Linked DNA regions of Arabidopsis thaliana. The protein of the gene in region 1 interacts with the protein of each later gene in a pairwise test. Each region holds a gene or a part of one and is shown in the gene's direction. Other genes may lie near its edges.

Evidence for each region.
Region 2: the proteins of AT3G13175 (region 1) and PERK15 interact in a protein complementation assay, tested with the Arabidopsis thaliana proteins (one large-scale study listed by BioGRID).
Region 3: the proteins of AT3G13175 (region 1) and EMB2759 interact in a protein complementation assay, tested with the Arabidopsis thaliana proteins (one large-scale study listed by BioGRID).

Annotation. Positions count from the first base shown.
Region 1 is NC_003074.8:4,234,540-4,237,785, reverse strand, and holds AT3G13175 (uncharacterized protein), read left to right. Parts: upstream 1-1,971; 5' UTR 1,972-2,205; coding exon 2,206-2,526; 3' UTR 2,527-2,711; downstream 2,712-3,246. Other genes in the region: AT3G13180 (NOL1/NOP2/sun family protein / antitermination NusB domain-containing protein), read left to right, coding at 1-30, 134-194, 346-453, 585-703, 786-857, 965-1,050, 1,160-1,256, 1,329-1,460.
Region 2 is NC_003070.9:19,469,295-19,474,579, reverse strand, and holds PERK15 (Protein kinase superfamily protein), read left to right. Parts: upstream 1-1,997; 5' UTR 1,998-2,217; coding exon 2,218-2,554; intron 2,555-2,631; coding exon 2,632-2,982; intron 2,983-3,067; coding exon 3,068-3,154; intron 3,155-3,236; coding exon 3,237-3,307; intron 3,308-3,384; coding exon 3,385-3,461; intron 3,462-3,550; coding exon 3,551-3,701; coding exon of another isoform or gene 3,702-3,766; coding exon 3,767-3,928; intron 3,929-4,035; coding exon 4,036-4,329; 3' UTR 4,330-4,760; downstream 4,761-5,285. Other genes in the region: RABG3d (RAB GTPase homolog G3D), read left to right, coding at 5,131-5,183, 5,274-5,285.
Region 3 is NC_003076.8:25,290,509-25,295,520, forward strand, and holds EMB2759 (embryo defective 2759), read left to right. Parts: upstream 1-1,895; 5' UTR 1,896-2,136; coding exon of another isoform or gene 2,137-2,145; intron 2,146-2,557; 5' UTR 2,558-2,600; coding exon 2,601-2,627; intron 2,628-2,794; coding exon 2,795-2,928; intron 2,929-2,942; exon of another isoform or gene 2,943-3,186; intron 3,187-3,211; coding exon 3,212-3,673; intron 3,674-3,876; coding exon 3,877-4,291; 3' UTR 4,292-4,487; downstream 4,488-5,012. Other genes in the region: AT5G63060 (Sec14p-like phosphatidylinositol transfer family protein), read right to left, coding at 4,574-4,651, 4,771-4,893, 4,993-5,012.

The DNA of each region.
Region 1 (3,246 bases):
GAATTTGTCCGCATCAAAACAGGCTTGCAGGTGTTGTAATGTAACCGTGAATTGTCCTCTTGTTGGCAATTTTCTTATCCTAGTTTTTTTACTGATAAGTTTCATAATTGATCATGGGCCTTTTCTTTAACAGACCGTTGTGCAAGCTGGTTTACTCAAAGAAGGCATCTGTTCTGTTCAGGACGAGAGTGCAGGTCAGTTTGGTCTTGTAATTATTTGGACTGCTCCTGAGAAAAGATACAGTCTCCTCTTCATTAATTTTTCATGCTGTTAACAGATTTAAGTTTATCCAAAATCCTTTTGTTCTTTTGATATCTAAATATCTCCCCACATCTGGTACTGCAGGACTAATAGTCTCAGTGGTGAAACCTCAGCCAGGCGAGAGGATAATGGATGCATGTGCTGCTCCTGGAGGAAAGACCCTATTCATGGCATCTTGCTTGAAAGGCCAAGGTAATATTACAAAGACCCCTTATTTTCCTCTATTGTACATTAATGTTGAATTAAATTATCTATTTTGAGAAACTTTTCTACTATACTTGACTGATTCCATCCTCAAACTGGCAAACTCGAATCGATTATAGGTATGATATATGCTATGGATGTGAATGAAGGACGGCTAAGAATTCTTGGTGAGACAGCAAAATCACACCAAGTTGATGGACTTATCACAACCATTCATTCTGATCTTCGTGTCTTTGCTGTAAGTTAACATTATTTGAGTATCTGAAGTTTCCAAGTTTGTAAGCTACTCACATGCTTCCTTCCAACTTAATGTGTTTTAGGAAACCAATGAAGTACAATATGACAAAGTTTTGCTTGATGCCCCGTGTTCTGGACTCGGCGTCCTCTCCAAGGTTAACATGAGAAAAGTTTATCTAACTGTTTCGCCAGCAAGATTTAACATTGCTAGTTGAATTGACCTGATCTGATTAACCTGTTCCCATTAATCTGTATTTTGTAGAGAGCGGATTTGCGCTGGAACCGTAAACTTGAGGACATGTTAGAGCTCACTAAACTGCAGGATGAGCTTCTTGATTCTGCCTCCAAGTATGCACTCTGTACATACATTTTGATGAGTCATTTGATTAATTCTGAAACACTAATATGCGACTTATCTGATACTTTTATCTGTGACACTCTTGATTGAATCTCAAAGACTGGTGAAGCACGGTGGGGTGTTGGTATACAGTACTTGCTCCATAGACCCCGAGGAAAATGAAGGAAGGGTCGAAGCATTTCTCTTAAGACATCCTGTAAGAATCTTTATAATCCATTTGCTTTCCTTCAGATGTTGATATTAACAAATAGTCTCTCTGCTTTCACAGGAATTCACCATAGATCCAGTAACCAGTTTTGTACCGTCGAGTTTTGTAACCTCACAAGGCTTCTTTTTATCAAACCCAGTGAAACACTCACTAGATGGAGCATTTGCAGCTCGTCTGGTTCGAGCCTTGTGACGTTAAAAGCAAGCTGTATTTGTCTCTGCTGAGAGTTTGGATGCAATTAGACGAAGAGGATAAATGAAAACACCTTCTCTTTTATTCGTAGAGTTGGGTTTTATGAGAGAAGTGTAAACTTGTAGAGATGCTGCTAATTGTATGTTGATATGTTTAAAGAAAATGCCTCGCCGTTTTGCCAGAGCTAGAAAGTAGAAACGGCGGCTCGTGTAAGTTCTAACAAAAGAGTAGTCGTCTGTTAGCAACCCAAATCGGGCTTTTAAAGGCCCATATTTTGGTCGGCCTGAATCCAAAGTTAAAAATTCAATCATGCAAAACGGACAACATTATAACTGAATTGAAAATATCTCTCTTATCATTATTTTAGCTTTGTACGATTTACTATTTATGTCAGAAAATGTTTCATTCTTTGACTTTTACGACAACTTTACAAAAAAAAAAATGTTCATACAAGTCACAGAACAAAGTAACATAAAAATCTTAAAAATATATTATCATTTTCGTTAGAAGAAAAACAGTATAATTTTCAAACGCGTTTAAAAACAAAATAACTTGAGATTTTGACGTTATCCTTGTCACAGAGAATCTTTCCTATTTCTTTACGTATAGACACTCAGAGGAAAGACAGAGAGAGAGTTAGCATTGTACTATCTCTCTTTTAGATATATCTCTATCTCTCTTCACTCCATCTTTCTCGTGTTAACACAACAGTCACAGACTCACAGATCTTTGTCGGTGATCGGAGATGGAGTTCCGGGAGAAGCTTTTGAAGTTCAAGTTGCAAATCGTGTTTGCCTTTGTTTTATCTCTCCTCACCGTAGCTCTCGTCGCTTATTCTCCCGGTTTCCTCACCGTTCTATCTTACTTCTGGCCACTTTTTCTCTCCACGGCTCTCTTTCTCGCTGCCGTTTTCTTCTTCGCACGCACCTCCGATCTCCCGGTTTCGTCTACCATCATCCCAGGCGAAGGCGCAGGCTTAAAAGTGGCGGCGGAAGGGATTCTTGACTATGTCGTCGGCGGACAACACGAAGACATTCTCTTTGATAGCTTCACCAAACTTGACTAAGTATGAGACCTCTCTGTTCTTAATTCCTTAAGTATTTCCGTTAATTAGTTGTTCCTTTTTTAATACTAGAGAAAATAAAATTACAAAATGTAATATTTTCACGAGGAATAAAATCTTGCTTAAGTTTATGCTTCTATATTACTTATTTTAATCTTATGTTTCTGTTTAGGCGCGAGGCTTCTTTTCTTTAGGTATCTCTCATTAGTTTATACGTTACAAGATTACACATTGCATTGATATATGATTTTACTTTCAAAAAAAATTTAAATGTTGAACGACCTTAAAATCCGTGCGCTTTACTTTTAAATCTTTCCGAATGAAACCCAACCACCGACGCGACAGCTTTTCATTTGTTTACTAATTAAACGGAACAAAGCAATTTAAATGTTATCAGTGTTGTGTTTTAGTTAGAAATACTATAAATAATACAAGATGCCTCTTTTGTTTTAGAACTTTTTTGGTATCATGAATTCGTTATCGGATAAAATACGTTAAAGCTAAGTAGTATATTCTTAGATTATATATAAATTAGGTGAGCAATCTATCATAGAGAAGAAATGATTAAAATAAGTGTATGGCATAATAGATTCGAACATTTTGGTATGTTCCTCACGTGTCCGAGCATAAAGCTTATGAACAAATCTCGACCACTAGAAGTCTAGAACTAATTCTAATCTAGTTTACCATACACATTAATTATTTCAAATTTAGTGCACATGA
Region 2 (5,285 bases), on another chromosome or scaffold:
CTCGTCCACGATGATAATTGGGTCACCTTGACGGATTGCGATTGTGGTCTTACTGTCTTAGTCTGCATGAATGCTTTGATTTTATGAATTTCCATGGACACCAACAATGTTTTTCATGCAATTTGCTTAATCAAGGATAATATGCTAAGAGTTCTATAATATGTATCTTTGTGACCAATTAAAAATGTGGTATGTATTTGGTTGAACCTAAGTGATCGTTACAAAACATCGAAAACATTTATTTTCTTTAAAACCTAAAATACATTTGATCTAGTGATAGCGAAGCGAATTGTAGAATAAGCGGATTAAATAATAGGGTGTGATTAGTTTTGAACAAGCGAAGTAGAATAATGTATAAAAGGTAAGAGTAGTTTTGAAAATGGATATTCTAAAAATGAAATTTCTCAAATATTCTACAAAAACTTATGTAAAAAATGTTTTTTTAACACTGGATGACAATTCTTTGAACCACACCACACCTAATTTTTTTTTTCTTCCTCGTTTTGAACGTAACAAAAATTATTTTGCATAACTCAACCTATAAAGAACCAACAAAAACAACCATTGTGTGAAACCCAAGAAAAAAAAAAATGCATTTCTTTGTTGACTCTTGGTTATCACAAAATGGTTCGTGTTGTTTGCTGTTTTGCAATTTACTATTGAGCTGTGACTTGAAATTTGATATGGTTTAATTCGAAGTTGTTTTGGTTTCTATTCGTACCAAAGACAAATACGATTATTTTTCCCAATTAACCTTATCATTAAAATGATCTTGAGATTGCATTGCCAAATCTATATAAATTTTTTTGATGCATAACAAAGCAATGGATTTCCATTATTAGTAATCCTTGATTCACAGATTTTGTCTTGAAAACATTGTTGGATGAGATTTCGTTTTGTGTTTTTCCTTGTGAAAACGTAATTGTTTTCGGTTATTATATTTCTTCTGTCAAATATATATGGTTCCTGATAATTGCTTCCATTGATTACCTACTTGTCGTCCGTACCCTACCACATTAATTGTTTTTCTTTTTATTATGTAAATGATTAACATAAAAAAAACTCCGGAAGCATAGGATTGGTTAATAAACCGGGTATCTGGCTGGCTTCACCGCGTACAATTTATTGAGCAAACAAAAAATAGAAGGAGAATGCATATACCAAGATACAATACTTGGAAAATGATGTGGAATTAGTTGTTCAAAGAATTCAATAATTCTCAACTTGATGGGTACCTTAGGGAGAGATACAATCCACAAACCAAAGATCACGGTAAATAGTAGTACTAGTATGTTTTTTCATATCTTTTGTTGGTCCCTTTGATTCTTTTTTACTTTTAAAGACAAAAAAATTAATGGCAGACAAGACAATGTGAATATACTTATGTAGTCGTGCTTGTTTTTATACAGTAGTAAGTATAAATTTGATTAGATAATTTTACTATATACATTATAATATTAATTTTACAAAATAAATTTGATTTATAGTTTTAAAAAAATTTTAGTTATAAAAACACCATAAAAATTAGATCTAAAAATTATTTTCATGAAATCGGATTTTTCCGAAACAATTTTACTGTGGATTAGAAAGTCGGAATTTGATTCCATCGATTTTTTATTTTTTTATTTTTTGCAAAAAAATCCGATCGAATTGAATATTTACTAGACTAATTTTTTTTGGCTGGACTAGTTTTTCTCTAAAATTAGTCAAACTTGAAAATATAGGCTAGTTTAGTCCGTATAAAATAAGTTCTAATTTGACATATTGTATCGAGTCATCCAAAATCATATAAAAAATTGTGTATAAAAATTTTAAAATTTTTTTTTTAAAAAAAAAAAGCAAAAAAGTTGACTTATATGGTAAATTTTTCTTAAAGATTCTAAAAATCATTAGTAAATTTTATTATTTTAAAAATGTTGACTTAATGATTATATTTTTAAATAAAAAACATAAGATGAATTTGGCTCTTTATTAGTTCTTCTTTTGATGGTTGGTAAGTGTTAACTGACTAACTGAGAAACAGAGTGACGAGAGAATTAAAGAGACACTTGCCAGAAGAACAAATCTCTCAAGTGGGACGGGACCCACCGCATGTCCCTTTCTTCATTCTCCTTCGTCTTCGTCTTCTTCGTCTTCGTCTTCGTCTTCACTTCCGCCATGAGAAAAACCTGCACACACGCCTGAAAAACCAAATCATCCTCATCATCTTCTGATCTAATGTCTACCGACACTATCCCTTCCCTCTCATCTCCACCGGCGCCGGAGTTTCCTTCCACCACACCAGACACGGCGACGTCACCAGCTCCGTCTCAGCCATCCATCATCGGACCTTCTTCGTTGGCTCCGTTTCCGGAGACAACAACAAACATTGATGGAGGCTCGAGAAATGTAGCATTAACTGGACTTATTACTGGAGTAGTTCTCGGAGCTACGTTTGTCCTACTCGGAGTTTGTATCTTTGTCTGTTTCTATAAAAGAAAGAAGAGGAAGTTAAAGAAGAAGAAGAAAGAAGATATCGAAGCTTCTATTAACAGAGACTCACTAGATCCCAAAGGTACTTTATTTAGGGTTTCTTTATTTCCAAAGACTCAATCTTTTTTTAATGATTATTCAATTCCTCTGTTTTTGTAGATGATAGCAATAATCTTCAGCAATGGAGTTCATCAGAGATTGGACAAAACTTGTTTACATATGAAGATTTGTCTAAAGCAACTAGTAACTTCTCCAACACTAACCTTCTTGGACAAGGTGGGTTTGGTTATGTTCATAGAGGAGTTCTTGTTGATGGAACTTTGGTTGCTATTAAGCAGCTTAAATCTGGAAGTGGACAAGGTGAACGAGAGTTTCAAGCTGAGATACAGACTATTAGTAGAGTTCATCATAGGCATCTTGTTTCTCTTCTTGGTTATTGTATCACTGGTGCTCAAAGATTGCTTGTTTATGAGTTTGTGCCTAATAAGACTCTCGAATTTCATTTACACGGTGAGTTTTTTTTAAAAGACTTGTTTTCAGTTATGCTTGCGTGAATTCCCGCAGTTTTGTTTGAATTATGGTGGTTGTTTTGTAGAGAAAGAGAGACCGGTAATGGAGTGGTCAAAGAGGATGAAGATTGCTTTGGGTGCAGCTAAAGGATTGGCATACTTACATGAAGATTGTGAGTATAATGTTCTTGTCTTTGAGTATTGTACAACATTAGTTTCTGAAGTTTTTGTCAAGGAGATTTTGTTTTGTTTCAGGTAATCCTAAGACAATACACCGCGATGTCAAGGCTGCAAATATTCTAATTGACGATAGCTATGAGGCGAAGGTATTCTTGAACTTGTAAAACTATATAAAAATGTTGTTTAGACTGCACTACTAATAATGCTGAACTTGGTTCATCAGTTAGCAGATTTTGGACTTGCCAGGTCTTCTTTAGACACTGATACTCATGTCTCCACTCGGATTATGGGAACCTTCGGGTACGAAACACTCTTTTCTATACGCAACCATAACCATAATAAGTTCATAACATACTAACAATCTTTTAAACTTCTTTCTTGTGATGCAGTTACTTGGCTCCTGAATATGCTTCTTCAGGGAAACTTACTGAGAAATCAGATGTCTTCTCAATTGGAGTGGTGCTTCTTGAACTGATAACCGGACGCCGTCCTGTTGATAAATCACAGCCTTTTGCTGATGATGATAGCATCGTTGATTGGGTTGGTTATCTTGTTTCCCTTACCACCACTTTTAATAAGCTTTTAAACTTTACCTCATGCTCTAGGCAAAACCTCTGATGATACAAGCGTTAAACGATGGAAACTTTGACGGTCTTGTTGACCCGCGGTTAGAGAATGATTTTGATATCAACGAAATGACGAGAATGGTTGCTTGCGCTGCTGCTAGTGTCCGTCATTCAGCTAAACGTCGCCCAAAAATGAGCCAGGTACTAACTATCACATCAAAACCTTTTGGCAACATTCAATCTAACACTAGGATAAAAAATGAAACTTTGTGAGTTCAATGGTGTCATTGTTCTTTGGACAATTGCAGATAGTTCGAGCATTCGAAGGAAATATATCTATAGATGACCTAACAGAAGGAGCTGCCCCAGGACAAAGTACTATTTACAGCTTAGACGGGAGCTCAGATTATAGCTCAACACAATACAAAGAAGACTTGAAGAAATTCAAGAAAATGGCGTTCGAAAGCAAAACATTTGGTAGCAGCGAATGCAGTGGTTTGACTAGCGACAATGGTCAGAACCCATCAGGCTCGTCTAGTATCACCGAAGGCCAACGTACAACGCAGGAGATCGAACCGGAGAAGAATACCAAGGACACATGAACTTTAAACAGAGGATTCTTGGTAATAGTTAAGTCTTATCATTTTGGGGTAGGACCCGTAGGTTTAGGTGTAAAACACATTATTCATTAGACGCGCTTTCACTTTTAATTATTTCCATGTGTGGCTCTAATCGAAACTGTCATGAGCCTGATATTGCACGTGAATATTATTTGTTGGAGATTTTTTTGAGTTTGGTGTGAAGATATTAAATTAGATTCAATCAAAGACTTTATGATTCTTAATTATTTTTTGGCCGTGATATATTATTTGAGTGGAAAGTTATTTTTAACATCTTTGATTCTTTTTTTAAAGCATGTTTTCTTTTGTTATCCATGCAACTTTGAAGAAATTGTTTTTTTTTTTGCAAATGAAATCCCATATATATATTAACCGATTTTAGATTCAGAGAAATAATATTTTTATAAGCATGGTGTTTGATTTTTGGTTGAAGGAGTAATTATTAGTATAGTTAGTACATAAGTCAATGGTAATTAACAAAACATTTGATAAAGTAAACATAATTAGACCGTTTGAAGATTTCTTCAAGTATAATTAATTAATTTTTTAAATTGTTTATAATAAGATTAGTTAATGACTAATTAAAGGAGGGGCAATTTTGGGAAAATAAAAGATTTTAAAATAGTAACTTTGCTGTTATTTAGCTAATACAGTATATACTTTTTCTGTAAATCACACGAAGAAGAAGAACCAAAAGAGAGAGATTGTGAAAGAAGAAAACAGAGACAGTTTCTTCGCTGAAAAGAAAAACCAAATCAGCTAAATCCCTAAAAGTTTCCGTCAATGTCTTCTCGCCGGAGAGTTCTTCTCAAGGTTATCATTCTCGGTGATAGCGGGTAAATTCTCTCATCTCTTCAGATTTCAGATTTGATGTGGTTTTATTTGTTCATTGAATGATGAGATTTTGATTCTTTTTTTATGGCCAGTGTTGGGAAGAC
Region 3 (5,012 bases), on another chromosome or scaffold:
CGCCTCAATTTACCCAACACATTTGGAAATTGGAATTATTGGGTAACTGAAAAGTTGTCAAAAGCTAATCTATTTGTGGTAATTGGATTTTCTTCCTAAAAATAGTATGTACATATCACTTTTGGTCGAATGTCTCCTTGTCTAAAAAAAGGTCCATAATGTTCTGTTCAAATTCATGTCTTTTTACGTGGCTGCATAAACTTCATCTAAGTCCCAACATTTTAACTACCTCAAACTGTCAACGTCTTGGAATAATCAAGTCCCCAAATATTGTCTATATCAATCAAATATCATAAAACTTCTCCACAAGGCACCAGGAATGTAATTATATTTAACACAAAAAGATATCGATATTAATAAAAAAAACTTTATACAACCCTTTATTTGAAATCAATTGGTAAACCAAAGTACAACAATAAACATGCCTAAAAGTCTAAAACAATTAAAAAAAATTCAAAACAATTTGTTAAGTAGAAAATTCAAAATTGTATGCCAAGGTAAAAAATCGATTTCAATATTACTGAAGAGATATTGAAATAGCGATCTTTTACATACCGAAGGGTCAAACATGATAAAGGCACTCAAAGATTAATATGTGCAAAAGATGGCCGCTCTGCCTACCAAAACGACATGACATGCGGATGGAAGATTTTTGCACCATCATACGTAAGTGTATACACTACTGTGTAAATTTCTCATATCGAATATACCATCTCATATAAAAAGCTTCCTATCTTGACTAAGAAATACAATAAAACTGTAACGACTATTGGAATGAAACCTCAATAAAACACCAAAAATAAACAGCTGCAAATCTAAATATTAGAAAGATTGTAACATTTTTAGAACAAGATCCAGATCTATTCTCTAACTGACCAATCAACTATCACCAACGTGTAAACAAGCTAACACATAAGTTTATGGAGTTAGAGAATATCTTCTACCACTTAAAAAGAAAAAGAACGAAAAACATGGAAGAGAAATATCGAATAAGGAGGAGACAGACAAAGGAGGCTTCTAAAGATAATGAAGGTATATGCAAAAGAGGTTTGGTTTATATAGAGAGAGGCTTGGAAATTAGGTCAATGGTGTTTATTAGTCGGTCGATGGAAATAGGCAGAAATTGGAAATAATATAAAAAGGCAATTTTCTAAGAAAAGAAGGAAATCTGTTTGGTCAGCGGGCAGCTACCCGGTGAATTAAACAATTCAGCAACTTGTCTGAAACAGGCAGCCTCGAGACTCCCACATGATCTTCCCGGTTCAATTTGGTTTACAAGTCTAATTGTATTTTAGATTTCGGTTTGGTTTGATTTTTCTTCTTTTTCTTTCTCAAGGGCCCATTTAGCATGATTTCTCGCAAGTCTACTATTGGATTAACCGATTAAGCATTAGGCCGAAGCCTAGGATCAAAATTCAGGGTATAAAGATCCATATATCGCTTGACTAAGTTGATAAACATCCGACCACAACCCCTTTTAAGTCCAATGAAATCAAGTTGTTAGTTAATTCATTGTGAAACTAGAGATTCAAGTTTTGGTTCCTTCAAAGATATTCGATATAAAAGAGAGGACTTCAAGTTTTGAGAACGTAATTACATGTTTCACGTCGTGGTTTTCAAAAAAATGATTATAAGAAATGTTATTTTCGTGTTGATTGTATGATTTGAAGAAACAAAACATCATGTAAATCTAAATGTAAAGAGCTTTTTTATCTTGAAAAAAGTTGATAAAAAAGTTGTGAAAGTTCTATTCAAATGATTTTTTTTTTTGTTAAGACTATGTTCTTCAACTCGTTATTTGACTATTTAAAATAGAAAATCAATTGTGATTTAATAAAAAAAAAAACTTAATAGTAATTTCTCCGAAACGACGACGTTTAGAGGTGTTGGTATTAAAAAACCTTTGATTAACCGCTTGCCTGCAATCTGCTCTCCTATCTCTTCCAATCTCCTCTCCTCTCTATCTATCCGCGTCCCCATTTCTTCTTCCCTCTAAAATTCCAATCTTTCTTATTGCTTTTTTTTATTCAAAGCTTCAAGATTTTCACTAGGGTTCTTTCCCTTTCTCTTATTCGATAAATTCTGTTCTTTTCTTTCGTATTCTCACGGACGAACAAACCCCAAGGCAACGAGCTCATGATTGAGGTCCGTTCTTCTGCTCTTTCCCTCTCAGTTTCTTCGCAGCTGTTTTCTAATTTGCAATCTATTTTATGGATTTGGGGTACTTTTGTTAAGGGAACAAAACCTATCATTTTCCAGGTTTCTTATGGTTGCGCTTTAGATTTTATAGTTTAGTGTAATTTAATCTGATTTGGGGAATTGGGTGTTGGATAAGAGTGTTTTGCAGCTGAGAGGATTGAAAAATTGAATATTTATGATATTTAAGCTCGCTAATGAGGTTCTCTTACTTCGGATTTTGCTCAGCTTCGCTCCTGTCAAGTAATTTTTGTTGTGATCTATATATGAAATTTCCTTTTAATGTTTTATGGTCGCTACTTGTGATTTCATCATCTTTGGAGGTTACAATCATCTTATTCAATCCTTTCTTCGGCCTCAGATTGTGGCTTTTGAGTAAATGATTCACTGCTCAGCTAGAGACAATGGTGTTGGTAACCCATAAATTGCAGGTATCTTAGACATAGATCTGTAAAGTCCTAAATTCTACTTTGTTTTGTGTCTCTGTAATGGTCATGTCTGCAAATGGTTGTACCTTCCGTTTCACTCTTGTAAAGCCTTCTTTTACTTGCCACACTAGAAATATAGATGTTTACCTCCCCCTTGTTCTCTCATGTAGGGTTCACATGTCTTGTCTCCTTGGAGTTCGCCAACATGGACCAGAGGCTTGTGTTTAAAGAGACCTGTTACGACAGTGCACTTTGTTGAGAGGAAAGATAAGCATTTACGATTGAAGCAAAAATGTTGTTTTAGGTGAGTATCCCACTTTACAAATCCCTGCTTAGGTTATGTACTACTTAGTTTGAGACTCATTACTCTCTCTGTACGACTGTACTCTAGGAAGGTAGATACGTAGTTATATTGTGGATTAAAATGTGCCTCTTAATACGCTGAGACCTATCTGTTAGCTAAGAGATTCCTTGTTAGATACTGAGACGTATGAACATATAGGAAACTATACTAAAAAGTTATAGTTCATATATTCCCTTTGCAATTGATTCTCGGAATCATAATATGTTGTGAAACTCTTTTGCAGTTTAGGGTCCCCTTGCAACGGTGGATTGAGAGCAAAACCTTTCAGAGTTACATCTTTTAAAGGTGGCATCCAAAATAATGAATCAGGAGGAAGTGAGGGTGGGAAGAAAGTTACTAATAACTCTGTCAAACTATCTTACCGTTCAGATGATGACGAAAATAATGTGAATGGCTCCCCAAAGGCACAGAACACTTCGTTTTCATATACCTCGGAAACAGAGGATTCCATGACAGGGCAACCCGCTATTCAGAAACTATTCAAGAAATGGTTGACATTGTTGCGCACACAGTCACCTATTCAAGTGATTGACGAGACTTTAGGAGGAGAACAGGTTCCACAAACGACGAAGCAAGAAACTGAAACAGAAATTCGGAAAGCAGAAAGTCTCCAGAGTACCAAAAATACAGTTTGGTCCTGGTTTTGGAGTCTAGACGCAGCTATCAAGATTCCGTTGCTGTTATTGTAAGTATCAGCATCAAAGCATCTTTTTCTTTTGCTTGATGAGGTAGTCTAGAGTTAGTTATCAATAGAGGAAAATCGACTAGATGTGAACTTATATTCAAAAACTGTCCTTAGGAAGATTTAAGAGTGTCACAGCCACTTTTTTCTTTTCCAAGTTCCTTGTATGTGTATTGACTATACTTTCACCTTGACCTTTTTTGTAGTGTTCCAGCTTTCCTAGCTGTTTACGCGATCTGTGGTGCTGAAGTTACAAAGGAATTATCCCCTATGTGGGTGGTTGGCCCCTTGATCATCGCCCTTTATATAAAAATGTTCCAAGGACTATGTTCCCTTTACGCCTTCTGCTTCAACCAAACCATCAAAATGATAAGAAACCTACCATCGTATTATCTTGTAGCATACCAATACATTGCCGATGGAAAGCTCAAAGACGACGTTAAAGCTCTAGTGTTTAAACCAGTGGTGGCCATCAAGAACACAGACTACAAAGAGCTCACACGCACGAAGCTGAAACAGTTCCAAGAATGGATCATTGAGAAATACCTGGATTTTGTTGAATCTGTATGGCCTTATTACTGCAGAACTATCAGATTCCTGAAGAGGGCTAACCTGATTTGAAGATCTTCAACATGGAACCCTCAAATTCTGACTTCTCAGGGCTTCTCTATGATTTCTCTCTGTGCTTTGTTTACCTTTTTTTTTTTTTTTCTTAATTTTAGGAAGGCTTTTCATGTTGTTTGTTCTTATCTCTATGTATACTGATACCTTTTTTGAGGTTTTACAATGAGTTCTTTTAATATTAAGGGTTATCCCTTTTCTCCATACTTAAAAATTATCTATACACATATAAATCGACAACAACAGAAGAAATAAGTGCTTAAAGGTCTCTTATAAACCTCTTTAGCTCCGGAAATTTGATGGTAATGTTTCTTCAGTAAAGTACTCCTTTCTGACGGTCTCTGCTGAGCAAAACTTGACCTTCACATAAAGCAAAGTATAAAAATCCATCTAGTCCAGTCCTCTGAATAACCACACTATGTAGTATATAGCAATTAGAATCGATGCATAAAAACATAGCAATATGGTATGGAAGTTACCAGAGAAGCGTATTGCTTCACCAACGGTTTAGTGAATTGCCAAATTGGCTGAAATATGAATGGAGCATCTACAAAAAGGACTTCATCCAATCGGCTTGGATAGTAATAGTAAAATACGTCAAACTGCAGAAACAAAACAATGGAAAAGACAACAATAAGATCAAAGACCATTCACCTGTAAGAAGATACAAAAACCATTCACCTGTAAGGAGAAAGAAATACCAGGAAAGTCAAGAACTTAA